7 linked regions of the Mus musculus genome follow. Each later gene encodes a partner of the first gene's protein in a complex. Links are inferred from orthologs where the notes say so. Each region holds a gene or a part of one and is shown in the gene's direction. Other genes may lie near its edges.

The links.
Region 2: Cc2d2a (region 1) and Cep290 share a complex: the UniProt entries of both Homo sapiens proteins name them as parts of the tectonic-like complex. The link is inferred for Mus musculus from reciprocal best matches to the Homo sapiens genes CC2D2A and CEP290.
Region 3: Cc2d2a (region 1) and Tmem216 share a complex: the UniProt entries of both Homo sapiens proteins name them as parts of the tectonic-like complex. The link is inferred for Mus musculus from reciprocal best matches to the Homo sapiens genes CC2D2A and TMEM216.
Region 4: Cc2d2a (region 1) and Tctn1 share a complex: the UniProt entries of both Homo sapiens proteins name them as parts of the tectonic-like complex. The link is inferred for Mus musculus from reciprocal best matches to the Homo sapiens genes CC2D2A and TCTN1.
Region 5: Cc2d2a (region 1) and Tmem237 share a complex: the UniProt entries of both Homo sapiens proteins name them as parts of the tectonic-like complex. The link is inferred for Mus musculus from reciprocal best matches to the Homo sapiens genes CC2D2A and TMEM237.
Region 6: Cc2d2a (region 1) and Tmem231 share a complex: the UniProt entries of both Homo sapiens proteins name them as parts of the tectonic-like complex. The link is inferred for Mus musculus from reciprocal best matches to the Homo sapiens genes CC2D2A and TMEM231.
Region 7: Cc2d2a (region 1) and B9d2 share a complex: the UniProt entries of both Homo sapiens proteins name them as parts of the tectonic-like complex. The link is inferred for Mus musculus from reciprocal best matches to the Homo sapiens genes CC2D2A and B9D2.

The regions. Positions count from the first base shown.
Region 1 is NC_000071.6:43,660,638-43,665,356, forward strand, and holds the start of Cc2d2a (coiled-coil and C2 domain-containing protein 2A), read left to right. Parts: upstream 1-1,741; 5' UTR 1,742-1,922; intron 1,923-4,719. UniProt on the Homo sapiens protein: Component of the tectonic-like complex, a complex localized at the transition zone of primary cilia and acting as a barrier that prevents diffusion of transmembrane proteins between the cilia and plasma membranes.
Region 2 is NC_000076.6:100,486,073-100,490,576, forward strand, and holds the start of Cep290 (centrosomal protein of 290 kDa), read left to right. Parts: upstream 1-1,509; 5' UTR 1,510-1,680; intron 1,681-2,206; 5' UTR 2,207-2,234; coding exon 2,235-2,336; intron 2,337-2,489; coding exon 2,490-2,567; intron 2,568-3,247; coding exon 3,248-3,317; intron 3,318-4,074; coding exon 4,075-4,121; intron 4,122-4,504. UniProt on the Homo sapiens protein: Involved in early and late steps in cilia formation. Its association with CCP110 is required for inhibition of primary cilia formation by CCP110.
Region 3 is NC_000085.6:10,552,571-10,557,206, reverse strand, and holds the start of Tmem216 (transmembrane protein 216), read left to right. Parts: upstream 1-1,443; 5' UTR 1,444-1,481; coding exon 1,482-1,494; exon of another isoform or gene 1,495-1,508; intron 1,509-2,042; coding exon 2,043-2,144; intron 2,145-2,585; coding exon 2,586-2,678; intron 2,679-4,636. UniProt on the Homo sapiens protein: Part of the tectonic-like complex which is required for tissue-specific ciliogenesis and may regulate ciliary membrane composition.
Region 4 is NC_000071.6:122,247,242-122,251,190, reverse strand, and holds part of Tctn1 (tectonic-1 precursor), read left to right. Parts: intron 1-723; coding exon 724-744; intron 745-2,207; coding exon 2,208-2,342; intron 2,343-3,145; coding exon 3,146-3,271; intron 3,272-3,573; coding exon 3,574-3,659; intron 3,660-3,949. UniProt on the Homo sapiens protein: Component of the tectonic-like complex, a complex localized at the transition zone of primary cilia and acting as a barrier that prevents diffusion of transmembrane proteins between the cilia and plasma membranes.
Region 5 is NC_000067.6:59,106,175-59,110,123, reverse strand, and holds part of Tmem237 (transmembrane protein 237), read left to right. Parts: intron 1-18; coding exon 19-136; intron 137-927; coding exon 928-1,085; intron 1,086-1,325; coding exon 1,326-1,449; intron 1,450-1,894; coding exon 1,895-2,086; intron 2,087-2,596; coding exon 2,597-2,670; intron 2,671-3,489; coding exon 3,490-3,580; intron 3,581-3,949. UniProt on the Homo sapiens protein: Component of the transition zone in primary cilia. Required for ciliogenesis.
Region 6 is NC_000074.6:111,916,616-111,920,564, reverse strand, and holds part of Tmem231 (transmembrane protein 231), read left to right. Parts: intron 1-1,608; coding exon 1,609-1,737; intron 1,738-2,130; coding exon 2,131-2,274; intron 2,275-3,949. UniProt on the Homo sapiens protein: Transmembrane component of the tectonic-like complex, a complex localized at the transition zone of primary cilia and acting as a barrier that prevents diffusion of transmembrane proteins between the cilia and plasma membranes.
Region 7 is NC_000073.6:25,683,580-25,687,311, forward strand, and holds the end of B9d2 (B9 domain-containing protein 2), read left to right. Parts: intron 1-2,401; coding exon 2,402-2,715; 3' UTR 2,716-2,983; downstream 2,984-3,732. UniProt on the Homo sapiens protein: Component of the tectonic-like complex, a complex localized at the transition zone of primary cilia and acting as a barrier that prevents diffusion of transmembrane proteins between the cilia and plasma membranes.

The DNA.
Region 1 (4,719 bases):
TGTCAAGTTGACATAAGACTGACCAGCACACACTGTAAGGACCCTACCTCTAATAATGTCAGGTTCTGTGGTACTGGGAGTGAAGATGTCAATATGTTATGAAGACCATATTAGTACCTCAATCTGATATCTTCCTTCTCCCCATCACACACACCACACAAACATGTTGGCTCATGTGTACACTGTACACACATATGTTAAAAAGTGAACTCTGGGTTCTCTGGTACGGTGAGACATGAAGACACAGACATGGCTGTCTTGTAGAAAGGTTATTCACACAGATCCTTCAAAGCAGGAAATGTCTTATAATTCTATAACAGAATATCACAATGGATATAAATTTGTTTCTTGGGCTGGGAAAAAAATGACTCAATCAATAAGATACTGGCCCAGAATAAATACTGAGCTCAGGTCTCCAGCACCCACATAAAAAGCCAAGTGGCTACAGGCATCTATATTCCCAGCACTGGGGATACAAAGACAGACCAATCAACCAAACACAATCAGCAGCAGTCTCCAAAAACAGCATTCTCCAAACATCAGGCTCCAAAAGAGACCCTTTACTGGGGTTTTCCCTGGAAGGAAGGTTGTGGCATGGTAAGTGTGCTGGTGGGTTTAGAATTAAATAATTTGACTTGTTTCAGAATATTCTGGATCATAGACATGCTCCCTAAGCACCTGCCTCCAGAGTGACTTAGAGCAGAGGGGTACTTCTTGGTGATTGCAGTAGATGGAGATGCCAGCTTGGGGTCAGTTAGTACGTATCAAAGAGAATATATGCATTTCCTTGGAGTCATTTATTGTCTCTAGGAATTAGTTAGCTTCAGAGATCTATCTAAGACCCATGCAGTGAATGCCAGAGCTTTAGGGATACAGAAAATAGGGGCTGGGAGATAGTTCTATTAGTAAAGGGCTTTTCATCACACAAGCATGAGGACCTGGCTTTGAAGGTGGCTAACACTCAGCATGGTGGCCCACGTTTGTTCTATCAGCACCAGACAAGCTAAGACAAGCAGGGATCTGGAGTTAGGCAGGCAGCCTAGCCTAATCACCAAATGCCAGCTTCCAGTCAGAGGTCTTGTCTAAGAAACAAAATGGCAGGCTTCTGAGGAACAACACTTGGGGTTAGGAGGCCGCGGTCTGTGGAGTTCCTTGATCTGTGGTTGTCTTTGGCCTGTAGAGTCTGAGTCTGCTTACTACTGTTCTCACTACTTGGCCTTTTCTCCTGGTTTCTTGCCTTTTTTTTTTTTTTTTTTTTTTTTTTTGAGCCATCTTGTCTGTATCCCTGCTGGGCCGCTGGGTCATTTGTAGTGAAGAGTTGAAGAAACAGAGGTTAGGCGTGTGCGGTCCAGCTTCTGTGCACAGCCAGCCAACATCCCTAATGCAACACACGCTGGAGCTCTGATAGCTCTGATGCCCGGCCACATAGTCTTTGCTACTGCTTACTAGGCAGCTCCACACAACATGGCCCCTCCTGATTCTAAACCACTCTACTTATCAACACCTTCTGTCCTTGACCCAACAGGCCATGCAACCCAGAGACATAAGGCAGGACACCCTGCTGAGAGCCTGAGTCCTCTCTGCTAGGCTGCCCAGTTGCTTTCCCTTTGTCTCTCTTCAGCACGTTATTTTTCCACTGCTTGCCCAGCAAGCTCATATTCCAAGTCTTAAAAGTAAACTGCCACTTTAAAAAAAAAAAGCGGCCGCCTAGTGACCTTCCCTGGGAACTGGTTGCTAAGCTGGTGTTTTTTTTTAAACCCTGAGATATGGCTGCAGCTTCCCAGGGAGTAACCTCTCTTACCCCAGCCCACCCTTTCGCTCATTTCTAAAAGGTTCTCTGGCTTGACACAACTGGTCTCTCATCTCATCCCTTCAGCCCAGCAAGTGGAATCTGCAAACTTCGTTTTGTAGAGTGGACGAAGGTAAATCAGTCTTTAACAGAGACAGGCTGCAGTGTCCTGCTTTCCTCTCCTTTCCGTTCCGGCAGAGAAACCAGCCCCTCCCTGGTGCAGTGAGAGTGGAATGAATGCTTTGTAACGTTAGGGACTCTCATCTTGCTAACATTAGAGACCCTTCATCTTGCTTGCAGTTTCACTCTCTCAATGCAAAGTGGGGGCACTGCAGGGACAGCTCTGATTTCAGCTGCTGTCTGGCTTGCAGGGGAAAAGCAAACCGGTTCACAGAGAGCCTCTCTGGTCAGTGTGCTGCTAAGCACTAGCTGCGTGTTGCTTTCGGGCCTTTAGTTTAAACTGCTCCGGGGAAGGGGAGGGCGGGCCGGAGGGAGTACTCTCCGTGTGGCGAGCTCCACTTTTCTTGTTATTGGACAAAGAGCTCTGAACCGCAGGGCTGAGGTCTGCCAAGCTTTCAGAAGTCTACTGGCCATCAGCTCAGCTGTTTTCATTTTAGGTGCTATGAAATGCTAGGTGCTATGAAATGCTAATAAAATCTAATGAGAAATACATGTCTGCTATTGCATTTTATATAACATTTCTGCAAATAAGTGTAACGACAGCATGCTTTGTATAGAGGGGAACTGTATATGGATAGAGAAAATATGTGCATATATGTATACATAGAGATAGAGAGATATGCACATATATAAACATAGATCAATCTGTATATAGATAGTTGGCCTAGAGTTCACTTACAGAGTCATTTATTCAAGTTTTTAGTGAGCATCAATGATGCAGCAGATGAAGAACTCAAGTTTACAGTGTACAAAACCAACTTAGACCAGGTCCAGTGGTGAGACTTTGCTGGGGAAGCAGATGTAGAAACAGATAATGAGATCAGTGACAAAACAGACTTGTAAAAAGGTCTAAAGAGCTTGGCCCACAGCGGGACTCCTGCCATAGAGGTGCTTCCAGCACCCCCTGTGCAGCTGAGCAATCCCATGAGCAGAGCCTGGGTGCTGACCTGGCCTCATCAAGTGAAAGGTGTCCCGTCCATCTGATTAAATGACCACACACAGCTGTGTCACTCACCTGGTACCCTAGAAGCTGGGGCTAGAGTAACTTGCTGCTACATAATTAATCATTAAAAAGGCACAGGATGGCTCCTGAGAGTTCACAACTTTGAGCGGGCCCTCCCACTCGAAAGGAAAAGCCTCGTCTCTGAAGAGAGAAAGTGAGCATGCGTGGAGGGGAGGAGGTTCCAGCAACATTTTAAACAGACGAGGGAAAACAAGTGTCCTGGTCCTGGCTGGAGGAAGGGGAGAAGAGACTTGTGTATGGCTGTCAGGGATGGGTGACAAAAACTAAAGAGAGTAAAGGGATAGCACTCAACACCCTAAGGTTTTCTTATGGTTCTCTTCCATCTCTGAACCTCTGTTTCCCCTCTCCATCCCTTCCTCCCACCTCCCCTCGCAACCATGACCTCTTCATCTGACCATCCTGGTTGGTAAAAAGATACTCTAAAGACACATTTGTGTATCTCCTTCAGCTATCGGACCATTAAAACAATGGACTCTAAGCCATTAAAACAATGGACTCTCAGAGCTGTATTTTCTCAGTATTGAGCGCTGGGAGAAGGAAAAGATGGGCTGCTCGTACCAGCACAAGGGAGGACTTGTCTCCAAAAGACAGTTCTGACAGCTTGTCAATCACCTTGCAGAAGGTACAGGGACAGAGACAATGCCATGTCAGTGATGGAAAGGACCACACTGACCAAAATTGCTTAGCTATGTATCCCTCCTGGTACCTTTTATTCAGACCCAAATTTCATATCAGGACCCTGGAAGACTGACTGTGACATTACTGGGCACCTCTGTTCCACTTCCCAAAGTCATCATGTTGTCTCTGATTTGTCCATTATTTTTCTCTTTCATTGCCCTACTGGGGCACTGGTGGCCAAACCTATCTTGTTAGAGTTGCCAACTGTTCTAACCCAAACTCTGGCAACATCCATAATAATAAAACCATAAACCCTACCAACACAGAGAGCCTGGTCTGTGACAGTCACTTTATTACAATCATTTCAGTACAGAGTCCATCATAAGAATGGGTTACCCATAAGAAATGATGATCACCTAAGGTGGGACATTTGATTATGAATTTATAGAATTGGCTGTGTTGTTTCAAGATCACACACTGGTGAGAAAATGGGGATTTTGAACCTAGGACTATGTTTTTTTTCCCAAAGACCTCACTCTTTAAAGCCATAATTTCTTTGTATAATTAATACACCATCCTTTCGGAGCAGTCTCAATTAAGAAGTACTTTATATAGTATAGCCATTTCCTCTCAGTCCTTCTCTGTATCTTGGAGGTTCATCCCTGGATTCTTGGATATGACTCTTAATGGCTGACTTTAGAGACAGTTCATGTGGTCAGAAAACAGTGTAGATACTTTCCTTTAAAATTAGTTGGTTATCTGCCCTGTGTAAAATAGATTATTGGCCTTGTGTCACCTATATAATTAGGACATTGCTATAGTGTTTGTGGTTTTCCATTGTATTTTCACAGCAAGGACAGTATAGACTAGTGATGGTAATCTTGTTTTAACAAAATTAAAGTGGGGCCATGGAGAGAGAACTTTGGAACCACAAAGCACAAAGGTCAGACTCTGAGAGGGAGATTTCAAACCTGTGGCCTCACATGATTTCGGAAATCTTGGTTTGCTTGGGTCTAAATTGACACTCATCCTACTGAGAGCTGGTGTATCAGGGTGAGCAGAGCGAGTGCACAGGGAGACTGCCAAGCTCCAGCTCCACACACCCAGG
Region 2 (4,504 bases), on another chromosome or scaffold:
AAATGAAGCCATAAAATTAAATGTGCAAAACACAAGTAAAGCTTAGTATTAACGTTTAAAAGAGAAACTGGGAAGTGCAACTATATCACGCATTTCACAAACATTAGCTTGTAGAATGAATGATTGTGTTCATCACATTAAATAAGAAAACAGCGTTTAACCTCTCCGAGCTTCAATCTCTTAGATGGACAATGCGGATAATACTGCTGTATCTCCACAAAGAATAATTCCAAAACTAAACAGTATTTAGAAATAAAGCAAACACTGCAATCAGGCCTACAAATCTGAAGAACGTCTTTAAAATTTGTTTCAAATACCATTTTTTTGTGCTATTTGTTTTTCTCAACCGCAGAAATCTTTTCAAAAGAAAAATGTAACTGTCTACATTTTTCTTTTAATTACTTAATATCTATTATGTATGATATGTATAAGTACCTTATATATCTATCCACGTATACATACATACATACATTCATACATATATACGAGACGCACTCTTTCAAATAGATGCTTACAGCTCCTAAAGTTACCTGCTGGTGTAGAATAGCTGTGCATTTGGCAACAGTTCCCTGAGTAAGAAGATTAACATCTGAGAAGGAGAAGGCACTTTCCCCCAAGAACTCCCTTGGTACCCAGCAAATGACAGCAAAATGCCATCGCTTGGCATGGCCCTCCTCCCTCCCTCCAGCCCGGCTTAAGAGCCTTGGGCGCACTAAGGCTCCTCTTTCCTTGGCCTTCACTCCACTCTTATTAACCTAATAAGCACTACAATCCGCAAGCTGCTGCAGGAGGCTGCCCCATCTTGACGCTCCTTCTTCACTCAACCAGAGCGTGAACTCAGGGGGTGCGGTGGGGGTGGGGGCGCTCCACTTTCCCAGACACCAAGGAGGCTGGAAACTTTTATTGACTCCCCTCTTAGGGAAGCCACTAACTGGGAGCCCCTCGCACCTACCTGAGTAGCCGGAGGACTCTTTCCCAAACCTCTGCAAGATCCGCCAGCCCTTCGGCAGCCCCAAGCTAGCGCTTCCCTAAAAACGCAAAGGTTCCCTGAGCTACTCCTGGCTGTGGGTTGACACGCCCCGACCTCACCTGAGGGCGGCTCCGCCAGGAGACGGTTCAGGAAAGCTTCTGGGATGGTGGACCGGAGAAGGACTCCGCAGAAAACACAGTCATAGCCTGCCACGCTCGGACTCCGGGGCGGCCGCACCTTAGCAGCCGCTCCTCCCGCCTCCCGAGCCTTCCCCCAGCTCTTCCAGGGCGGCCGCAGACTCCCGCATTGCACGCCGGGAACGCGCCGCTCTTCCCAAAAACTTCCAATCCCAGGATGCACAGCCGCGACGCCGAACTGCACTCTGGGACGTAGAGTCCTCATCTCACGGCTCTCCCTCATCCACAGTAAGGAGGGCTTGGAGGGGAAATAGAGCCGTAAAGCTTTTTCCAGGGTCGTGAAATGTAGTCTTCCCAGGTATCCCGGGGCCTAGTTCCGGTCTTGGCAGGCTGGGGGGCGGGGAGTGGTGTCGCCTAGCAGCCGGCGCCGCTTCGGCTCGGTCGGGAAGAGTTGGCGGGAGCAGCCTGAGTGCGCGAGGACCGCTCTGGGAAGCGTGAGGCCGGGGCGGTGGCCGAACCCGGAGGTGGTCGCTGTAGATGAGTGACTGCTGCTGGTGGCAGGTCTTGGTTTCGGTGGGTGGATCCTCGTGAGCCGGAGCCGCTTAGTGTCGTTCACAGGATCGTAATCCCGAGGGACAGGGTGCAGCCCTACCTATCCAGACCTCTGTCGCTCTTGTCTGCAGTGTCGTCTCGGCCTCCCTGATTGAGCTTGATTCCGCAAACACTTCATTTAGCTCAGTCTTTTTATCTACTTTAAAAATCCTCTGGTCCCCTTTCCTCAGAAGGTTTTCAAAAACTTCCAAACATCTTGGGAGTTGGTACCATCATTGATGGTAGGGGACTTGGAAAAGGGGCCTCGGGGTTTTAGCTCCGAATTCGTCTTAGCAAGAAAATAATAATTTAGCGTGTACATTATCGTATAGCCTGTGTCAGGGGAACTAATTTTCGTCGAGGCTGTTTGCCTCTGCATCTGTTTTGCAGTTCAGGAGCCATAGCTCTTAGCCAGCACCTAGAGAGTTAAGTAAGACCGCTCATGATCATGTAAACACTGCAAGGCCATTTTCCTTGAAAATGCTAAAATCCACCTGCTTCTTTGTAGAGGCTGAGAGACAGTGAAAGAATTCAAGATGCCACCTAATATAAAGTGGAAAGAATTAATCAAAGTTGATCCAGATGACCTGCCACGGCAAGAAGAGTTAGCAGATAAATTATTGATATCTTTATCCAAGGTACTTAATAAATGATTTGTACACAGAGCCTGATGTACAATGTCATGAATTGAAATTGCTTCTTGAAATCATTGAATGCTATAACTGGAAGAGTGCTTGTATTTAATGTGCAGGGTATGAAATAGTCCATTTTTTGTGTGTTTGTTTCCTTAGGTGGAAGTAAATGAACTAAAAAATGAAGACCAAGAAAACATGATACATCTATTCAGAATTACCCAGTCTCTAATGAAGGTTTGTAGGAAAGAGTGTGTAGGAAAAGAAATATTTTTTAGGAGAAACATAAAGAGTCATAAAGAATCATATGGTCAAATAAAATACAAAATCTCTCCCCTATAAGCTATACATGAAATGATAAGAGGATTCTAGATTCTTCATAAATAAATACTGAGAAAGAATATGTATTCTTTACATTAAGGTAAAAGCATATAGAAAAATATTTGGGGCCAGTAATTTGGGATATACTGTTCAAGAGTTTGAGAGTATATTTTGGTTATCAGCATTTTAGAAGGGAATAAAGGTTTTTAAATCATACTTGGTAAAGAAATGTACTTATGAAGGCAACATTAAATGTGTTGTATAGACTGAAGGGATGAGAGCTGATTAGTTCCAATTATAAGAAGGAATTACTAAATTTATTAATAATAACAATTGGGATAGTAAAAAAGATATTGAAAACATTTTAAGTAATGGCTATAAAGTTTAACGGAAAAATCAGATATAATTCAAAGTCTTGCCATTCTGGAATTTCTAGCCTTATGTATTTATTCAACAACTATTTACTGACTGTCTCTGTGTGTTAGTCATCGTACACACTACAGACTGAGATAGCAAATTCCACACAGTTTCCATTCCCACTGTTTACATTACAGTGTAAATAATACAGATTCTTCCCCTCTCGTTTTAATGTTCAGATGAAAGCCCAGGAAGTAGAGCTCGCTTTGGAAGAAGTTGAAAAGGCTGGAGAAGAACAAGCAAAATTTGGTAAATGTCTTGGGAAAAAACTACTGTGGTTCCATTACTTATTAGACAGTATAAAATCTATCCTATTCTATAACATATGTATTCAATTTATACTGAAAGATGCTACATCCTTGTGCAGTTCCAGGTACTGGCCTGAGTGCTGTGGTAGGGGGTGAAGAAAAGAAAACACACAGACACTTAGAACAGTTGTTTTCGGTTGGACCAGGCTCTCTAATGGAGCAACTGCCCCACCCCAGAAGCTCACTGTCTGTATTATATCCACTTGACCAGAGCAGTGGAGTTGTTGCATAGCTGAACATAAAGTCGAGTGAGTGCATACAGATAAACATGAAGGCAGGGTTTCTGCTGTTGAATAGGGAGGCAGATTTATCAAATCTCAGTAGGAGTAGTCTCTATAAGGGAGCCATAAACATTAGGGGGACATTTTCTGCACACCCTGTCAACATCCACAGTCAGACGAGGAGGGAAGGCTTTGCCGTTTGCCATAGGCCTGAGACATTTGGAGTTCCTGACGTGGCTTTGCCCATGTCAGTAGTACACACTGACTCAGGGCTCATGCACTGAAGCCTTCCTCTGCTCTCTACATGAGGCATTTCTAGAATGCATATTTTATGCATTTAGTATATAATAATTACTTTCCTGTATCTGTTAAGGATGGAATCTTTTACAGAGAACAGTACTATTTTATTAAAGTTTACTTAAAATCTGATTATAGGAAACTTAACCAATTAAAACATTTGTGTTTTTTTTTAAATAGAAAATCAATTAAAGACAAAAGTAATGAAACTGGAAAATGAACTGGAGGTATATATATATCCTTTTATATTTCCTTGTTTTTGAATTTTCTTGTAGTTGTTATTAATTGCATTATTTTAAATTGTTTTCAAATCCTCCCAGATTGGAAAATACAAGATTTTGTGCTCATGCGTTTATTCATTACACAGAATGTGCTTTTGTGACTTGAGTTCTAAGAATTATGCATCCAGTGAAGTAAAAACGGATCCCTTCTGAATGGGGCTGTCAGTCTGGAGAAGCATATAGAAAGCTTAGTAGCAGCTGAGGGGGAAGGGTGTGGGAAGTAACCACACCGAGATTCTGAGAAGCTGAGAGGGGATGCAGTAGGAAAGGACCAGACTTTGAAAGGAGGAACCAGGGAAAGGAGAGGTCCACAAGGTTTTATGCTTGTG
Region 3 (4,636 bases), on another chromosome or scaffold:
TAGATAAAGCCCAGTGGGGAGTGTTTGCTTAGCAGCCCCAAGCTTTGGGTTAGACCCCAGAGGGCAGGAGACCCAGCTGCATATTCTAAGGTTCCTGCAGGTTACTGACTTAGTCTGTGTCCACTTTTGGTACCTATGCTGTTGTGGCATCCTGACATGAAACAGCATCATTTTCTTAACCAACCAGGTGATATTAAGGCTATAGATTATATCATCTCTGTTGACAATGGGTAAACTTTTCACTGTAGCATGAGAACTATATGTGTATACAATATCAAAATGTTTAGGCAGAGTGATTTAAGACCCATAATTTACAAAAACAAGCAACTGGTCCACCCTCCTTTCCTCTGAGACTCAGAGCAGGGGTGTGTATGAAGGTAGTTCAGATGGGGTGCAGGGACCAGGGCTTTCTCCATCACCTCACCTTGCCGTGGTCCTTTAGTGGGAACTTAGAATTCCATTTAAGACCTGCCAGAACATTGTGACACCCACTTGAAACCCCTGTACTGGACGGGAAGCAGAGGCAGGAGAATTTGAGGCCTGCCTAGCCTACATAGGAGACCTGTCTAGCCAAACTAAACCAGACCTGAATAAGGCAGTGGAAGGCACAAGCAGAAGTGAAGGAGGAAGGAGAGCAGAGGTGGAGGTGGGGAGTGATGGAGGGAGGCTTCTACTTAAATTATTCTCCCGGAGTGAGGACCTGCTTTGAGAAGCAACAATTACTGCCTTTATCCACACTCCTACTAGGTAGGGAAATAGCACTTTCATTACAGGTTACTTACTCTCTCCCGTTATTTGTTGACTGACTGCCATACTCTAAGGGCTGACAGCTGGAGTCTTTTCAGAAATCTTACTCTTTCACCCCCTGCCTGCAACAACACGCTCTTGCTTCAAATTGCGGCCAGGGTTCGTTCATAGCGCAAGCTTGTTGGAAACATTTCTCAATTTCCAACTGGCCAGACGCTGTCTCCTTTCAACACCCTTGCACTCTTTGGGTCGCAGGAGAATCTCATTATAGCACCGCTGTTTTCCCTTGTACTCCTAGAAAGGACATTCTATCTTCAACGGTTTTGGTGTTTACATAGGCTCCAGGTAAGCCTTTTGCACGACAGTGGCATGGGGTGTTTTTAAAAAAAACACATGCAGTAGAAAAGAGAATGGTGGGCGCAGGGCCGATCCTCCAACTACTCGGCCACACCGGGCCACTAACGACCTACGCCATGACGCCGGGGATGGAGAGAGTTCAGCTGGAGAAGTGTTCTGGTCTCTCTGCCGTCGTTTAAAACCCCATCCTCCCCCTAGACCACTGTAGGTGGTTGACGGCTGGCGCTGTTCTGTGCATGGGCGCGGCCGGTGGGGTAACCATAGAGTAGCACCGGCAGGCAGAGCGGCCAGAAGACCGGGCGGCTCGGTGCCGCGCTTCCGGCAGCGCCGCATTGCTCCGGGCGCTGCAGTGTACGCAGTTTCCATGGGGACTGAACATGGCGCCGCGAGGTGAGACTCTGGAGGTGTGTGTCTCTGCCCCTTATCCCACGGGTACCTGCCAGCCCCCTCCACCTCTCTGTCTCCAGAGCTCGACCTAATCCTCCATTTCTAAAAGTCGGGGTCTTACTCTTCACTTGTCTAAATCGGGCTTGGGTTGTTCTGATCACCCCGAGTGCCTGCATGGGTACTCGAATACCGTACTCTTAAAAATCCCCGGCTGGCCCTATTCTGGGATGGCTCAGTTATGAATCCTCCCGCCTTGGACAGAATTAGTTTCTGTGCCTCAATTTCCCCCTCAGAAGTGACAGGGTTGAATATTTGAGGTGCCTCTCAGCTGTGATTATAGCTGAATTGTCAGAGAAGTAGATGTCAAAGTGATTCCTGAGAAAGGAGATTGAAGGCAGTTCCTGCCACACCAACACTCACGTCATTAGCAATCAGAAGTTTCTCCCTCATTCACAATAATCTTGTGATTTCTCCGGATTACAAAGAACCTTCACACAGAACAGAGTAGAGCTCTAGCTGCCCTGCCCATTCTTTGTTTTGCTTTCTTTCAGATAAAAGATTGTCCTCAACCCCCCTGGAAGTCCTGTTCTTTCTGAATGGGTGGTACTATGCTACCTATTTCCTGCTGGAGCTCCTTATTTTCCTGTACAAAGGTAAGCCTGGGCCTATCTGCCTCTGCCCCAGCAACCCTTTTCCACTTTAGCATACTCCAAGAACCTTCTATCTTCTGGTCCTAGCGGCATCTCCATTGCAAGGCAGAAGTCTCTCCAACTAATGGCTTTAGAATGATCAAATAGGATGTCTTTCAGCAAGACTTGAGTTTGAGAAATGTGGGTTTCTCCATCCCAACTCTTTCCCCATCTCTCTTTACTAAAATATTCAGATCTGTGTACCATTATAATTCAGTCATTTGGCAGAGTCAGGACTTGGAAACTTAAAGCCTGTAGCTGTAACAATCTATACCTTGCTGATTTGTGAGATGTTAAGACTGGTTGGTATCCTTGTCCCGGGTTTGTGGCCGTCCATCCTTGTGGGGCCGTGGGGCTGACCGTTAGCTAGGTGGTGTGTGCATACTCTGGCTTTCCCTCCTGTAGGGCTCCTGTTGCCGTACCCAACAGCCAACTTAGTCCTGGATGTGGTGATGCTGCTGCTCTATCTTGGCATTGAAGTCATACGATTGTTTTTCGGTGAGTGTTGTTCAGAAAATATTTCCATTGCTTATGAGACATGCTGGAGCCTGTAACTTGATTAACAAGACAAAGAACCTAGGCTCACTATCAGAGTGGATCTGGTAATGTATATACCATTGCTTCTTCCCTGAGGCTTCAAGCTGCCGCTTCATATTCTAGGTCAAGGTTTACCTGTGTGTTTGTGAGTGAGGCTAGAAGCGGGCAGTAGCACTGATCTTAGACCAGTCCTCCCAGCTGCCTGAGTGCCACAAGAGTGCCTGCGTCTTCTCCTTGCTCTGAGAGAGGAAAGCAGTACATTCCTAAAGAGCTCAAGATCCCCTCCGCTTCTCTAAACAAGGATTTCTCTAGAAGTTCCTAGACACCAGAGAACAGAGCAAAACTGCTGATTACTTAGAATATATCATCCTAGTGCGAAAATACAAACCTAAGGGAGAGAATGGTAAGGGATACTAACAGTCAATTCACAAAAGTCATTATAGAGGACCAAAAACCTTGCTAAGGTGAGCATGGTGGCACATGCCTTTAATCCCAGTACCCTCTGGCAGAGACAAGGGGATGGCTATGCATTCAATTAGACATAATGAATTCCAGTGCAGACAGGGATGCGTAGTTAAATAGATCTTAAATAGATCCTAGCTAAAAAAATAAAACAAAACACCAAAACAATAACAACACTTGCCAATGTGCTCAAACCTAGTAAAGAAAAGCAAGAAAAATAAGGTAAAAAAATTTTTTTTTATATATTGGCATTAGTCAGAAAGATTTATACAGTACAGTATCCATATTTGGCTTGTGATATACATATTTTTTAATTAAAAGTCATTATTTTATGCCGATGGATATTTTGCCTGTATGTATGCCTGTATACTACATGTATGTCTGGTGCCCACAGAGGTCAGAAGAAGGTCTTAGGCTAGAGATGGCTCAGAGGTCTAAAAGGACTTTTAAACCTCCTGCTTTTGCAAGAGGACCCCAGTTTAGTTCCGAGCATCCACATCAGGTAACTCACAACTGCCTGAAACTCCAGCTTCGGGGATCCAATGTTGTCTTCTGGCCTTTGTAGGCACACACAAACACCCAAGTGAGAATTAAAAGTTAAAAAGAAGAAGAAAAGGGCATCAGATCTTCTGGAACTACAGTTACAGACTGTTAAGCTGCCATGTGGGTGAACCTGGGCCCTCAGGAAGGTCAGCAAGTGCTCTTAACCACCCATGATCCATCTCTGTAGCCCTAAAGAACAGATATTTTGTTTTTGTTTTTTTGTTTTTTCGAGACAGGGTTTCTCTGTGTTGCCCTGGCTGTCCTGGAACTCACTCTGTACACCAGGATGGCCTCGAACTCAGAAATCCGCCTGCCTCTGCCTCCCAAGTGCTGGGATTAAAGACGTGTGACACCACGCCCGTCTAAGAACAGATATTTTTAATGCACTTAAATTATTGTACATATTAATTGAAGTTTTAATGTATATACACATTTGCATACACACATGCATATTATAGCTATACATATTTTACATATACACATATAAATTACTATGTGTATACACATGGATATATGTATACACACAGACACACACACATACACAATTTGGTTTTGGTTTTTTGAAGCAAGGAGAACAGGATGATCTTGAACTCTCAATTCTGACCTTATGCGTGCTGGGATTCTAGGTGTGTGTTCCATGACTGGCTCTGTTACTTTTTTTGTCTTTTTCTTTTTTGAGACAGGGTCTCTTTATGTAGCCTTGACTGTCCTGGAACTCTCAATGTAGACCAGGCTGGCCTCAAAATCAAGAGACCTACCTGTCTCTGGCTCTCCAATTTTTTTCTTGATACAGAATCCCACTGCTCCCTGGGTAGAGTCAGAATGGAAGCAGAGCCTCTGGAGTGAATGACTTTAATCATGTAATGCCCTGGAGCTTCAAAGTTTTAGGTCAGTGGGAATTAAGTTAGTTAGTT
Region 4 (3,949 bases), about 79 Mb from region 1:
TCCTACATGACAGGGAGGGAGGGCTGAAGAGAGGAAGAGGTGACTCAACCATGGGATAATGTCCAAGGCCCCTCCTGGTTTCTAAGTTCTTATTAGTGTTGTGGGAGGGTGAGGCACCTGGGCTGCCATATTCAGAGTCCTTTACCCTCCTTAGTCCCTCCTGTTTTCTAAGTTGGTCCTCCAGGCCTGAGTTCTAGTAAGTTTGAATTCTCAAATTGTCCTCAAATGTGACAAGGTGTAGCTCTCTCTTAGTACAGACTTCCCCAAGCGTGCCTTTTCTGTCAGGACCCCTGGCCTGAGAGGGTATGGAGCCATGAGATGGGAAGGACAGCCATGTGATGTTAGCATCAGGCTGAGGCTCGGCCTGGGAGACCAGAGTCAGGCCCTGGATACCTTCTGTGCCAGGGATGTGACCCTGCCGTGAAGACAGGTGCAGCAAGGGACCAAGCAGTGACTCTCTCCCCAGTGTTAGGGCTGAGAGGCAGTGTGGGATAGTGACAGCAGAGCAGGCAAGCCTCGGGAGTGCTGCTGCTGAGGGAGGATGAGACAACAGAGGGAAGTGTGGTGGTTACCACAGAGATGCAAGAGTGGTCCTGAGTGCAGAATCTGCTGTCATGGTGGTGGTGTCTCGATGGTGAGCGTGGCCTTCGCTGAAGTCTGGGAAGGCTGTAGAGACTCATCTGCTTGTTGTGCCTAACTTAGCTGTGCTTTCTTTCTGTCTAGGTACCTAATTCAATGACACAGGTAAAAGCATAAAGCCTGCCTGCCTGTCTGTCTGTCTGTCTGTCTCTCTCCGTGGTGAGTGTGTGTGGGTGTGTGGTTTGTTGGGGATGGGCTAGGAAGGATGTGTACACGAGTGTACATAAGTCATTGGCCAGAGGTCAAACACAGGTATCACATTCTTCGAGTTATCTGATTGTTTTAAGGATAATTTTTACCCTGGCATAGAAGCACATGGCTTTACTCCCATCAATTGGAAGTCAGAGGCAGGCAGATCTCTGTGAGCTCAAGGCCAGGGTGGTCTACATAGAGAGTCCCAGGCCAGCCAGGGTAACACAGTGAGATTCTGTTCTCAAAATAAAATGGAAGACGTGTCAGGCCTTTCTGTGACACAGCCTCTAGAAAGTGCCTTGTTTCTACTGTTTCAGACTGGCCCTGTCCTCGTGCTGTTTAGATCCAGTGGCTTTTTTTTTTTTTTTTTTTTTTTTTTTTTTTTTGGTTTTTCGAGACAGGGTTTCTCTGTATAGCCCTGGCTGTCCTGGAACTCACTTTGTAGACCAGGCTAGCCTCGAACTCAGAAATCTGCCTGCCTCTGCCTCCCGGGTGCTGGGATTAAAGGCATGCGCCACCACGCCCAGCTTTCCAGTGGCCTTTTGATGTTAACAAGAGCTAGTTAAGTCACAGGGTTCCCCACTTGGCTCAAGCTGTTGAGGTTCCTTGGTGGCATAGAGAGTTGTGCAGACTAGATTGCCTTTTCCTGTCACCCATGTCCCCATGCTGTCTCCCTGAGAGAGTGACTGTGACCTGGGAGGGCAGTTGCAGGTTTGCCTTGGTCATAGGAGCAGCGTGGAAAGGCTGCATGTTTATTTCTAAGGTGATGGCTTCCACACTTGCCAGCTTAAATTATAAACAGTTCAGCATAAGTTGAAGACAGCTTGGTGAGCAGGTGCTTTGGGCGTCTTCCCAAATGTCACCTGGAGAGTCCTCGTCAGAAGCATCCTGGCATCCTCAGGGGTCCTTGTTGCTTAGTCACTCTTCTGGAGCTGGTCCCCATCCAGGCTCCCTGATATCATTTAGAAAGTTTGTCTGACTTTGTCCTTCCTGGACCCTGCTGCCTCGCCAGCCACTGTGTGTGTGCTGCCTGGAAGGCAGGCTGCATCTCCTGAGGCAGTGGTTTGCTCTGGGAAGCTGGGCTTCTGGCTGTGAACCTAGGACTGAGTGTGTAGGAGCATGGACTCTGTCTTTTGGTGTTAAGCATAGTGTGTGTGTGTGTGTGTGTGTGTGTGTGTGTGTGTGTGTGTGTGTGTGTGTGTAAATACCTGTCCTCTTGCAAGAGTGAGTTTACAGCATGCACAGCGTGTGGCAGTGTGTGTGTCCCCTGCTTTGCATTTGCTGTCACTAAGTATTCATTTTAGGCTCTGGGTACTGTCACCCGTGCTTTATGTCACATGCGGTAGCCTCATACCCAAGGATACTCTCCCTCTCAGGTCTCCATCAAGATCCAGTCTGTAATGTATCGGTCTCTGAATCACACACTGACGCAGTTAGAAGGCCATGGTGTCCTGCGGCCATCTCTGGTCAGCACTGGGCAAGACAGACTCTGCAGCAACGTTGTTCTCCAGGTAGGCATCCAGTGTGCCTCTGCAGTCCTGTCCGACTGCCTGACTCCAGCCTGTGGGGCACAGGGAACGGCACACCGTCCAGAGGGCACTGTGCTCCATACCATGCTGATACCCTTCTTGGTCTGACCTCCAGTTGCTTCTGCTGCTCTGCCCTGTCGTCAGAGGACATGTCTTTACAGGTCTCCATAAACCTGACACGTTGTAAGAATACATCAAAATGTTTTCGTCAGTGGCTAGAAAGATGGTTCAGTAGAGTAAGAATGTTTGTTCCACAAGCATGAGGACCTGAGTTCAAACCCCCAGCACCCACGTAAAAGCCAAGCATGGCTACTACCCCTGGCTATAACCCCAGCATTGGGGAACAGAGATCGGCAGATCCCAGGAGTGCACTGGTCAGCCAGCCTCACTGAAATAGAGAGCTTGTGGTTCAGTGTGAGACTGCGTCTCAAGGCAACAAGGCAGAGAGTTACAGAAGAAGACACCCAGTGTCATTCTCTGACCTCTGTATGTGCACGCATGGACACGCATACACACTCACGTATATGTAGCACACATAACAATTTATTGTCACCACTGTTTACTTGATTGGACTCATTTCTTCTGCAGAAATAGACTGTTCCTATTGTGTTTGAGCCAGCTGAATCTAAAATGTCAAAAACCTGAGTACACAGAGGCCAAGGTGACCACTGGGATGTTAAGGGGACATGAGTAATGTGATTAGACAGCAGGCTTGGGGGCGTGACTTTTCTGTGGCTGCCTCTTTAGAGTTGGTAACATGGCTGCTGAGCCCCATTCCATCTCAGGTGAAGTACAGTCTGCTGTACACAGCCACAGGCCAGATCCACGAAGCCGGCCTCTCCCTCGTTCTGGGGACACTGAGCAGCGCTGTGAGTCTCCTGCAGCAGAAGTTTGAGATTCACTTTATTCAGGTGAGTCTGAGAGATCTGCGTGGATGGCAGATGGAGAAAAGCCTGGCTTTTGGGGGCAGCACCGTCAGTCTAGAAGCATGACCCAGCTCCCAGGCTGCGCTGCAGGAGCTGTGGGGTTTGCCTGGAAGCCGGGTGCTGTCCCGTGCCTGGCAGGCTCACCGAGTGCTGTCCTCCCACTCTCCGGGATCTATTTATACTTGAGAACAGAGGGAGCTGTTCTTCCAGATGTTACAGTGAGAAGCACTGGGTTGCCCCCGCTTGTACCTAAATACTGTAGCCCGGGGCATCACCTTGTCTTTCAGCATGGCACCAAGCCTGTTCCTCTCAGCGGCAACCCTGGTTACAGGGTGGGACTCCCGCTGGCTGCTGGCTTTCAGCCTCAGAAGGGGTATCCTTTTGGAGGTCCGCAGAGAAAGTCACCTTCCTGTCTGCATGGGTGGGCTGTGGTAGCCTATGGGAAAGAGATACCTGACTGGCCACTCCAGGCCACTGGAATGTTTAAGGAGAGCCTGGTGCTTGGGGGGAAGGTGGCAGTGCATTTAAAAGGACAGCTAGATGTAGAAGGGTTTGACTCTTTGATTCATTTGTTCACTTTTGGTTTTGTGTTTTTGAGAAAGTCTCTCTTGCTATGTACTGAGCTCACAATATAGACCAGCCTGGCCTCAAACTGACACAGAT
Region 5 (3,949 bases), on another chromosome or scaffold:
GACACATCTTATTTTCAGAGTTGGAGACTTCCCTCACCGAAAGGCCATCGAGTCCATCTCTACTACGGAACGAAAACGGCATTGATGCGGAGCCTCGTGAGGAGGCAGTGATTCCAAAACCGAGAAGGAAGGCAAAGTAATGGCCCCTTCATCCTCTGAGCTAAGTCCTTGGAGCCAGTGCTGGTGTCCAATCCCAAGTAGTGCTCCTCACTGGGTCTCAGAGACCACAATGTCTGTGTGTGTCAGGATAGGCAGGGTTACAGAAATGAACCAATGCTAGGAGGGGTTTGAAAAGAATAGAACACTGAAAAGAGAAGAAGAGAAAGGAAAAGAATAGTGTATGGAAATAGCCCAAGGACTCGTCTCTAAGAAAGTGTTAGCAAGGAGAATATTTTCATATAAGTTGCAAAACCTGAGATAAAGATTAATGTTTAAACATAAGCTACTGTGATTTGTTTCTTTATGTTAATGGATTTGAAATATTTTGAAATAACTTTAACCATTGTGTTTTAATATAGGAAAATAACTATATTATATAGTTACATACATTTTATATATATATATATATGTTGTAAATAATAACATATATCATATAAAATACAACAGCATACTTAAAAATATGCTGGAAGTTACATAACAGTAATGTTTGTACCTAAAAATGACTACAAAGAATAACCAATCACATTTAGTAGAATTTTATAACTGGAAGTCAGGAGAAATCCAGCCCGGTCAGTGCCCCTTCTCTCAGTGAGGAAACTGCAGTGCACAAGCGTGTGTGCAGCTAGTAACAAATCTAGTTGAGTAAACGGCATATTTCTTTCACTCCAAGTTCAGGACTCTTTCCATTATATTCGTGGGTAATTTCTTATGTGGCTCTTTAGAAATCCAAGAATGATCTATTGTTTCAACAATTTTCTCTGATTTCAGGAAAACCCAGCCAGCTGAGCCACAGTATGCTAGCGAGCTAGGGGTGGAAGATGAAGACATACTCACAGATGAGCAGAGCACTCTAGAACATCACTCTAGGTTCACGGCACCCACCGGAGTTAGCCAGCCTGTTGGCAAAGTATTTGTGGAAAAAAGCCGTAAGTAACTCCTTGTTTTGGAATACAATTGCTCTAAATATTGTATAGGGATATCTTTAACCTGGTGATGATAGTTCTGATGACCTGAGTGAAGGAAATAATAAAGTAATGTAGAGGAAAATTGACACACAAAACTAGTCATTATGCTATTGTTTTTTTTCCCAACTGGATTTTATTTGTTTTAAAATACATTTTTAAATAAATAAGTCCCATTAGTGACTGTGTTCTCTGTGCTCCCAGGGAGGTTTCAGGCGGCGGACCGTTCCGAGTTGATAAAGACCACAGAAAACATAGATGTGTCAATGGACGTGAAGCCATCTTGGACTACCCGAGATGTGGCACTTTCTGTGCACCGAGCTTTCAGGTGGCTGCCTTTTGTTGGTGTTCGTTAAGCAGATGTTAATTGGATATCATCATTTAAAACCAAAGAAAAAAGCCTTGGTTGTTCTGTACTTTGTAAACAGTTTGACAATTTAAAATGGTATGTAGATTTAGTTTTGTAGACATTCCACTTGTGCTTCTCATAATATGTTAAATTGTATTATATTTGAGGAGATTTTAAAAATACCTTAGCCTTTTATTTTAGTGGCTAATATATAATTAAACTTTTCTCCTTCTTATCTTTGAGTACTTTTCATAATTTATTTATTGACTTTACATACCAATCACAGCACCGCTTCCTCCTGTCCACCCCGTCCTGCCCATATGTCCCTCTCCTGATTACCTGCTCCCTCTCTCCTCAGAGAAGAGTAAGTTCCCACCCCACCCTGGGACCTCCATTCCCACAGTAATTAAACTCTTCTGTGCAGGATGGTCGGTCTGTTCTCTCATGGCTTCTTGGCTGGCTGTGCTGTGTGGAATACTGTTGTGATCTACGTTCTTGCAGGAGATCAGCTGTCTAATGTCTCCAACCTTCTGCAGCAGTACAAGCCCTTGGCTTATCCCTTCCAGAGCCTTCTTTACTTGCTTTTGGCTCTAAGTACAGTTTCAGCATTTGATAGGTAAGGCTGTTGTGAATGTGGGGCCTTCTAACCTTCCTTTAGGAAGAAATAGTGAGCAATATATGTCACTATGACTTTTCAAGGTAGAATGTTTGTTTTTTAAACCAGTCTTTGGATTAGCATGGCCTTATCTTCATTTCAAAGTATCCATAGAGATCTCATTTCCAAATAAAGTCACCTTCATAAGGACTAAGGTTAGACCATCACCACTTATTTTGGGAAACACATAGGTCAACCCATTTTAAAAAATATCAGCAGGACTGGGGAGATGGCTCCATGGGTAAAGATGCCTGCTCTCATGCCTGCTGTCCTCAGTTTGCTACTACCTAGGACCCATATTGTGGTAGGAGACAACCAACTCCTACCTCCACATGTGCACCAAAGCTCATAACTCAAGGTGTGTGTGTGTGTGTGTGTGTGTGGCGGTAGGTAGACTAGAGAAGGGAACACCACCGAGGGAAGTACATTGTGTTACAGCTGCACAGTGACAAAGCTTTCATCTCATTCTAGGACTGACTTTGCTAAAATATCAGTAGCAATCCGGAACTTTTTGGCCCTGGAACCAACAGCTTTAGCTTCTTTTCGTGAGTAATAGTTACTGTGATAACTATGTTATAATTGAGGAGCAATTCTGTCACTTTGAATCAAGAAAAATATTGTATAGAAGGTTTATATTATTTCTTCATATAAACCATTAGATCAATGAATTTGTAATTTAAAATGTGGTAGGAGTAATTTTTTTAGAACTATTCTTTTGTTTTTGTTTTTGAGGTAGGATCTGTTACATAGCTCAGGCTGGCCTTGAACTTTGTGTGTGGTTGAGAATAGCCTTGAACTTCTCATTCTGTTTGCTCTCCTTTAAATGCTGGGATTTGTAACCACCCAGTGCCGTGCCTGGCTTGCAAGTGTTTCTTATTTGAAGATCATCCAAATGACTTTCAGAAGTTGAATGTATATGTGAGATGCTGGGTTTAATGTTCTGCACCAAAAGTAATAAGTAATGTTAAATGTGTGGCCTTCATTACTTATTCAGCTTCTGTGTTTTCCACTTGGTAGACACAGCTGGCATGGCCTTTTAGTAATGAATACCATTTTATATATTTCTGGCATTCTACAGTACATTTTTTGTAGGTTACAAGATTCTATTAAAGCGAGTTTGAGGACCTTGAACAAGTAATTTAAATTCTTAAAATCCTTTTAGGCTCTTTCTTGCCAGTTCCAATGATAAAATTGTACTCACCTATTACACTCTGCACCGTATTATCTACATAATAAAAGCTGCCTAGTGGCATTAAATGTATTTCTTTTGTATAATCATTCACCAAAGTGTGGCTTATTTTGGTCTTAAAATTCAATATAAACAGCAGTCAAATTTATTAGTAATTTCACTTCTTCCCCCTCAGTGTATTTTACTGCTCTAATACTATCTCTGAGTCAGCAAATGACAAGTGACAGAATCCACCTTTACGAACCTTCTGTCAATGGAAGCCTCTGGTAAGAATCTACAGTAATATGCTAACAGCAGCAGTGGGGGAGGAGGAGGGCAATGATACCATTCCACATTTTCATCTGTAGATCATAACAAGGCTATGTTTCTGTTTATAATAAACCATGAGAAGAAAACACCTGTTCTGTTGGTTAATGGATAATGACCTTTTTATATTTTTACTTTTGTTTTTCTTGACATGTAGTTTCAAGTAGCCAAACCTCCTTATGTAGGTGAGGCTGGCTTTGAACTCCTGATCATACTGCCTGTCCCACCTAAGTGCTGTGATTACAGGCATGAGCACTGTACCCAGCTTATACCTGGATTGTTAAACTATCATCTTTTTAAAAATATGCAGCGGATTGGAGGTGCTCTAT
Region 6 (3,949 bases), on another chromosome or scaffold:
GGAGGGGTCACATTTCAGTTCCGTCCCTCCTGCTGACCACTGTCAGGTCACTGTGTCACAGCTGAGACTGTGGGGACCACCTACTGATCTACTTTTAACCGCCCACATACGATTTATGGGCTGTGACTTTTCTTATGCCCTTCTCTGATTTTTGTCAAATATTTGTGGTCTTGGTATCTTGTTGATCTTAGTTTCCTTTTTGTATTTTATTGATTGATGCTTCGACACGAGTAATGAGACAGATAGTCCAACCAACCAACCTTAAGTATCTGAAGCAAAGTCACTCGAGATTTAGGATGTGCAAATAGGGGCTACACATAACGGCTCAGTGGTTAAGAGCACTGGCTGATCTTGCTTCTGCAGAGGACCTGAGTGTAGTTTCCAGCACCCACATGATAGCTCACAGCCATCTGCAACAACACTTTCAGGGCCTCTTCCAGAACCCTTCTGACCTCTGTGTATAGCAGGCATGCATTCAGTGCACAGACATATGTGCATGCAAACATTTATACACATAAAAATAAATCTTAACAAAATGTATAAATAGAGCTTGGTGGATTGAATAGCACTTGCTTGGTAAACACATGATGATTAGAGTTAGACTTTGGGGGGTTTTTTCTATTTTTTTTTTTTTTAAGGTTTACTTATTTATTTTGTGTGCGTGCTCCATCTGCATGTACACCTGTGTGCCAGAAGAGGGCATCAGATCCCATCACAGATGGTAGTGAGCCACCTTGTGGTTGCTGGGAATTGAACTCTGGGACCTCTTAATGGCCGAGCCAGCTCTCCAGCCCTGCTCTTTCCATTTGGACAGACTGACTTGGAGATGGAGCTAGCACACAGTGGTCAGCTCTAGTCTAGTGTGTAAGAGACCCTAGCCAATCCCTAGCTCCCTAAACAAAGAACAACAGGAATAAGAGCAAGGAGGGAGAGGAAAAAGAAACTCCTCTCTAGGGGCTGGAGACAGGGCTCAAATCTGTCCTTACAGAGGACCCAAAGTTTTCACCTTCCTCAGGCAGCTCATAGTCACCTATACCTTGAGCCCCAGGGCATCTAACAGCGTCTTCTGGCTTGCATAGTCCCCACCCACCCACCCACCCACCCACACATATAACTAAAATAAATAACTGATTTTGTTTGGTTTTTTTGGGGGGGTTGTATGTAGGTGTTTGGTTTTGTTTGTTTGTTTTTATTTATTTCATGTATGTGAGTACAATGTAGCTCTCTTCAGACACACCAGAAGAGGGCATCGGATCCCATTACAGATGGTTGTGAGCCACCATGTGGTTGCTGGGAATTGGACTCAGGACCTCCAGAAGAGCAGTCAGTGGTCTTAACCACTGAGACGTCTCTCTAGCCCTTCTTTTTCTTTTTCTTTTCTTTCTTTCTTTTTGTTGTTGTTGTTTGTTTGTTGGTTGGTTGGTTGGTTGGTTTTTGGTTTTCCAAGACAGGGTTTCTCTGTATAGCACTGGCTCACTTTGTAGACCAGGCTGGCCTTGAACTCAGATCTGCTTGTCTCTGCCTCCCAAATGCTGGGATTAAAGATGTGTGTGCCACCACTGTCCAGCTATAACAATTCTCTAAGAAAGTAAATCTCTTCTTTTGTAGTCCAGAGAAGAAGACCGGAACCAGGATGGAAAAATGGATGTGCTGTACTTTAAACTTGAACTTCCCCTGCAACCCACAGAGCATGTCCTCGGTGTGCAGCTAATCCTGACCTTCTCCTACCAACTGCACGTGAGTCTGTCCTCACATATATGTCTGCATGTCAGAAGAGGGCACCAGATCTCATTATAGATGGATGTGAGCCACCATGTGGTTGCTGGGAATTGAACTCAGGACCTCTGCAAGAGCAGTCAGTGCTCTTAACCTCTGAGTCATCTCTCCTTCTCCTCCTCCTTCTCCCTAGGGAGAGCCACACTGCAGATGGCTCTTCTATGGAAAGTGACTAGGAACTTAACATAGACAAATTGAGTATTCAAAGTAATAGGCCTTTCTGGGCAGAAAGTTCCTGAGTGGGCTAACACACTCATGCCGGGCCTATCATCTTCAGCTGCTGACAAGTGAGTTGTGGACCCCCAGGCTCTTCAGACCTGACAATGTCATCATCTCTCTCCCTAATGATTTTAGAGGATGTCAACATTCGAGATGCAGAGCATGGCCTTTCTCCAGTCCTCCTTTGCTGTCCCTGGGTCACAGTTATATGTGAATGGCGACCTGAGGCTGCAACAGAAGCAGCCACTGAGCTACCGTGGCCTGGACATCAGATACAACGTAAGGATGCCCTTGTAGTCCAGCACCTTCAGGCCTAGGCTTATCACAGCCTTCAAAGGACAAGAAATTTAAGCTTAGAAATATAGCATTTAGTTCTTCTTATGTGTACGAGTGTTCTGCCTGAATGGATGTTGGGCACCATAAATGTGCAGTGCTGGACCCAAGCCCACGTCCTTAGAAGAGTAGTCAGTGCTCTAAACCACTAAACCATCTCTCCAGCCCCATCATGAATTTTCTTTCTTTCTTTCTTCCTTCCTTCCTTTCTTCCTTCCTTTCTTTCTTTCTTTCTTTCTTTCTTTCTTTCTTTCTTTCTTTCTTTTTATAAAGATTTATTTATTATATACACAGCATATATAGTTCTGCATATATATCTGCATGTCAGAAGAGGGCACCAGATCTCATTATAGATGGATGTGAGCTATCATGTGGTTGCTGGGAATTGAACTCAGGACCTCTGCAAGAGCAGTCAGTGCTCTTAACCTTTGAGTGATCTCTCCAGCCCAAATTCTTAATGTAGGAAGGGAGTTGGAGGGCTGGCTCAATGGTTGAGAGCACTAGCTGTTCTTCCAGAGGACCCAGGTCTGATTTCCAGCATTGAGGTAGCAGCCTACAACTGCTTGTAGTTCCACTTCCAATGGCTCCATCATCCTCTTCTGGCCTCCTCAGGCACTGTGCACAGATGGTGCACAGAAACACATATAGACAAAACACACATACACATAAAAAATAATAATTTTTTTTTTTTTTTTTTTTTTTTGGTTTTTCGAGACAGGGTTTCTCTGTATAGCCCTGGCTGTCCTGGAACTCACTCTGTAGACCAGGCTGGCCTCGAACTCAGAAATCCGCCTGCCTCTGCCTCCCGAGTGCTGGGATTAAAGGCGTGCGCCACCACGCCCGGCGATAAAAATAATAATTTTTTAAAGGTTTATTTATTTATTTTATGTATATGAGTACACTGTAGTTGTCTTCAGACACCCCAGAAGAGGGCGTAGTTGCTGAGAATTGAACTCAGGGCCTTTGGAAGAGCAGTCCATGATTTTAACAACTGAACCATCAATCTAGCCCCTAATTTTTTTTGTAGAAGTAAAAAAGGCACACCTTGGTTTATACCCGGAGAGAGAGGGGAAGCATTCTTACTAAAGAACCAAACTGTCTATTGCTTTCAGGTACACACATTCCAAATGTATTCTGTGTTAATTTTTGTCGCTGTTTGTTTGTCTTGTTTTGTTTCTTTAAAACTGTAGCCCTGGCTGTCCAGGAACTTGCCCTGTAGACCAGGCTGGCCTCAGACTCAGGCAGGGATACACCTGCCCTGTTGGGATTAAAGGCATTCATCATCACCAGGCCAACTTCTGCTAGTTTATTGCTTGCTGTGACCATTCCTGACAGAATAACCTGAAAGGGGAAAGATCTATTTTGCTCACAGTTTCCTCCCTGTGGGAGGGAGGGGAATAAAGAGCTCCTCATGCTGTGTCCTGAAGGAAGGAGAGTGAAGCAGCTTGGGACCAGAGCAAGATGCAGCCTGGAAGGACAGGTTCCCGTGCCTTGCTTCCTCCAACCAGATCCCACCTTCCACAGCTTCACACCCCCTTAGCATCCCCCCAACCATCCAATATCTGCTCACATTTTGAACCCATCAGTGGGTCAAACCACTGATCAGCTCTGAGCCCTCCCT
Region 7 (3,732 bases), on another chromosome or scaffold:
GCCTGTGGAATGTGCCGGAGGTTGGGGTAGAGAAGATATCAGGAAGTGGGGGTCAAGTGGGAGGGGCCTTTGACTAACGGCCACTGAGGAGGCTGCATAGGGTAAAGAGAGATAGATAGGGAGGAGAGGGACAGGAAATGGGCCAGTTGCCGTTGCTCACACAGGCAGAGGTTCTGCTCAAAGGGGAAGTGAGTCTTCGAGGGAGGAGGAGGGTATCATGTCAGTGCAGCTTTTCTGGTTAAAACACAGCAGATTCTGGGAATGAGGACTGTTGACTGAGCCTACGTCTGTCCAGCTTGAGCAGGGACATCCCCAACTAAGAAGGACCCTCCAAGCCCTGTCATCAAGGGTTCCATTATAGGTAGAAGATAGACCTGTTTCCAAATGTGGCCAGCACAGAGGCCCTGGAAACACAGAAGTCATCTCTGATTGGTCCCATGGCCTTATAGGGCAGAGCAGTTAGAGTTCTGCTGTAAAGGGCCAAGAGAAGCTAACTAGGCCCAAGGACAAAGACAGAGGGTGGAGTCAGAGAGCTGGAGCCAGGTAGAAATGGGGAGGTGTGTCCTGGGTATTCGCTGTCTGTGGGTGAGAAGGACAGTGGGGGATGAGGCGGCAGGGACAGAATGTAAGGCCTCGCCTGCAAAGGCACTAAGACTGATTCTCGAAGGCTCTGGGGAGCCCAAGAAGAAATGGATGGATCAGATTCTCCTTCTGAACAATTGTACTAGTTTGTGAGGGTGATACGTTGGAAGTTTTCCTCAGTCCTGGCCTTAGCTGTCTTCCTCCCTGTTTGCTTCCTTCTTAGTCTCTCAGCTCACCAACAAACCCTGGCGGCTCTGAAACCCACTTTTGTTTCTCACCCCATCCCACCCAGCCTTCTCTGTCCATCTTCTCTTTCCGGGACCATTTTTTGTTTTTTGTTTTGTTTTGTTTTGTTTTGTTTTTCAAGACAGGGTTTCTCTGTATAGCCCTGGCTGTCCTGGAACTCACTCTATAGACCAGGCTGGCCTCAAACTCAGAAATCTGCCTGCCTCTGCCTCCCAAGTGCTGGGATAAAAGGCGTGTGCCACCACGCCCAGCCTTCTGGGACCATTCTTTCTTTCTGTCTTCACTGTGCTCTCAGGGTTGGATACTGGACTGGACCCTGGGAGGACCTAAATACAGCATGTTCTTCCTCTGTATGGAACCTGCCTGCAGGCCTCCTATCGCTCAAGAGAAAAGCCGGAGCCTTCTCTGGCGTCACAGGCCTATGGAATCTGGCTGTCACCTCTGTCCTTTGTTCCCCACGACTCCCCGTTCTAGCCTCATTGGCCCCACCAGGCTAGCTCCTACTTCGGAACTTTTGCACTGACTGGATCTGTCATTCCCCTAGGTGCCTAGAGAGCCCACTTCTTTAAGCATTTATGTTGCATCCTGGTTGGCTTGTTTGCTTTTTGAGATAGAGTCTCAGAACATAGTCCAGCCTAGCCTGGGGCCTCAGCAGCCCAAGTGTGTGCCAAAATGTCACCCTTCAGATATGTAGCCCTGGTTGTCCTAGAACTCATTGTGTAGCCCAGGCTAGCCTTGAACTTCTGGGGATCCTCTTGCCTCTACCTCCCAAGTGCTGGCATTCCAGCTGTACACTGCAGTGTTCAGCCCCAAATGTCACCTTCTTTAGGAAAGCTTCCTTCAGCTGCTCCCCAATTTTCCAAACTACATCTCCACCCCTCCCTTTCTGGCTGTTGTTTTTCCCCAGAGCGGTTATCACCATATGACATACCCTATAATTTACTTATTTACTATGTTGGTTGTCTAGGATGTCAGCTTCACGGGGCAGGAATTTTTGTCTGCTGTGTTCATTGCTGTGTCCCCAGCCTGGAGAACAGGGCCTGCCAGGGGAGGGCTTAGGGTTGGGGGGGGGGGGGGCTGGGCTGCATCTCCAAGCATTGGACTGTCAGGCTGGGACACTCAGCTGTGCATTGAGGCCACTAGAAACCTAACGAAGGGGAGAGATGGCTCCACTGGGGAAGAAAGGAAATCTGAGTCAGGTGCGTGAGAGCAAAGCAAGTCCATGAGGAGGAGGGCGGAAGGGGTCTAAGCTGAGGTGCTGACCTGGGGGCCTGGGAGAGTGAAGAGACCACAAAGGGAGGTCAGACGAGGCCAGACTTGACTTGAGAGGTTGGACTTTGTTCTGTGGCCCAGGGGAGTCATGGGAGGGTTTTGAGCAAGAGGGTAATGTGGATTGCTCTAGATTCCTGTGACTACTATGTGGAGTGAGTGGGAGATGAGAACCCAGAGAGGAAATTCAGGCAATAATCCAAGGTAAAAGTACTGTGCGAGGTCTCCAGTGGTTTCAATGCTGGGAACCCGGGAGCAGGGTTCTGCCCCTTTGTCCTTTTCTCTAACGCCTCTCCTCCCGCAGGTTGGCCTCGACTCCATCTCCAGGTGTGGTCCCAGGACAGCTTTGGCCGCTGCCAGCTTGCTGGCTATGGCTTTTGCCATGTGCCTAGCAGCCCAGGCACTCATCAGCTGGACTGCCCTACATGGAGGCCCCTGGGCAGTTGGAGGGAGCAGCTAGCACGGGCTTTCGTGGGTGGTGGGCCACAGCTGCTGCACGCAGATACCATCTACAGCGGGGCTGACCGCTACCGCCTGCACACGGCCGCGGGTGGCACAGTGCACCTTGGTATCGGCCTGCTGCTGCGCCACTTCGATCGCTATGGAGTGGAGTGTTGAGGGACTTCATTGCTACTAATCGCCATCATCCACTGAGCACATAATGGCACAGCAGTGAAGCAGGCACGTGGACTCTGGAGACTGTCAGTCCTGATCACCCCCAAGTCATGGCCCCTATGCCATGGACTGCAAGGCCAGGAACTCCCCTGTGGCCCATGCTCCACTGAACTACGGGGTAGAAAGGGCTGTGGGTTGGAGGGACATGAGCAGGGCCCACTGTTTGGACTGTCGGGGGCACTTAATAAAAGCGTGTATTTCTCATGGGTAAGGTGCCTCCTTGTATCCGCTAAAGCTCTCAGACGTCGGTCTCCTTATTTCACTCTCCTTGACACTCTCATCCGCAAAGTCTGCCCCTGCCTTTCGCTCTCCACCGCCTAGGTCCCCACTTCTAATACAGGACTCTGTTTTCTCACGAAGTCCCAATTTTTCCTTTGACCCTTCAACAACTCCCAAATCCACCGGGGCGCTTTGGTTGGTCACCGGCTTTAGTAGTGCTCCGCCGCCAGGAGGCAGCACCCTGGAGGTGGGGCGAGGCCGGGGTGCCCGCCCCCTCCCCGCAGGGCTGAAGGGACCCCCCTTGGAGCCCGCCCACGCTAAGATGAAGACAGTGCCCCCCCATGCCCTCCCCCTGGGGCTGCCCCCGCCCCGCGCGCGCTTCCTGGGTGGGGCCGGGGCGGCTTCAAAACCCCCGCCGCCCCAGCCGGTCCCGCCGCCGCCGCCGCCCTTCGCGCCCCAGGCCGTCCCCCTCCTCCTCCCGCCGCGGATCCTCCAGACAGCCAGGCCCCCGGCCGGGGCAGGGGGGACGCCCCTTCGGGGCACCCCCGGCTCTGAGCCGCACTCGGAGTCGGCCTCCGCTGGGAGCCGGCAAAGGAGCAGCCGAGGAGCCGTCCGAGGCCCCAGAGTCTGAGACCAGCCGCCGCCGCAGGGAGGAGGGGGAGGAGGAGTGGGAGGAGGGACGAGCTGGTTGAGAGAAGAGGAAAAAAGTTTTGAGACTTTTCCGCTGCTACTGCAAGTCAG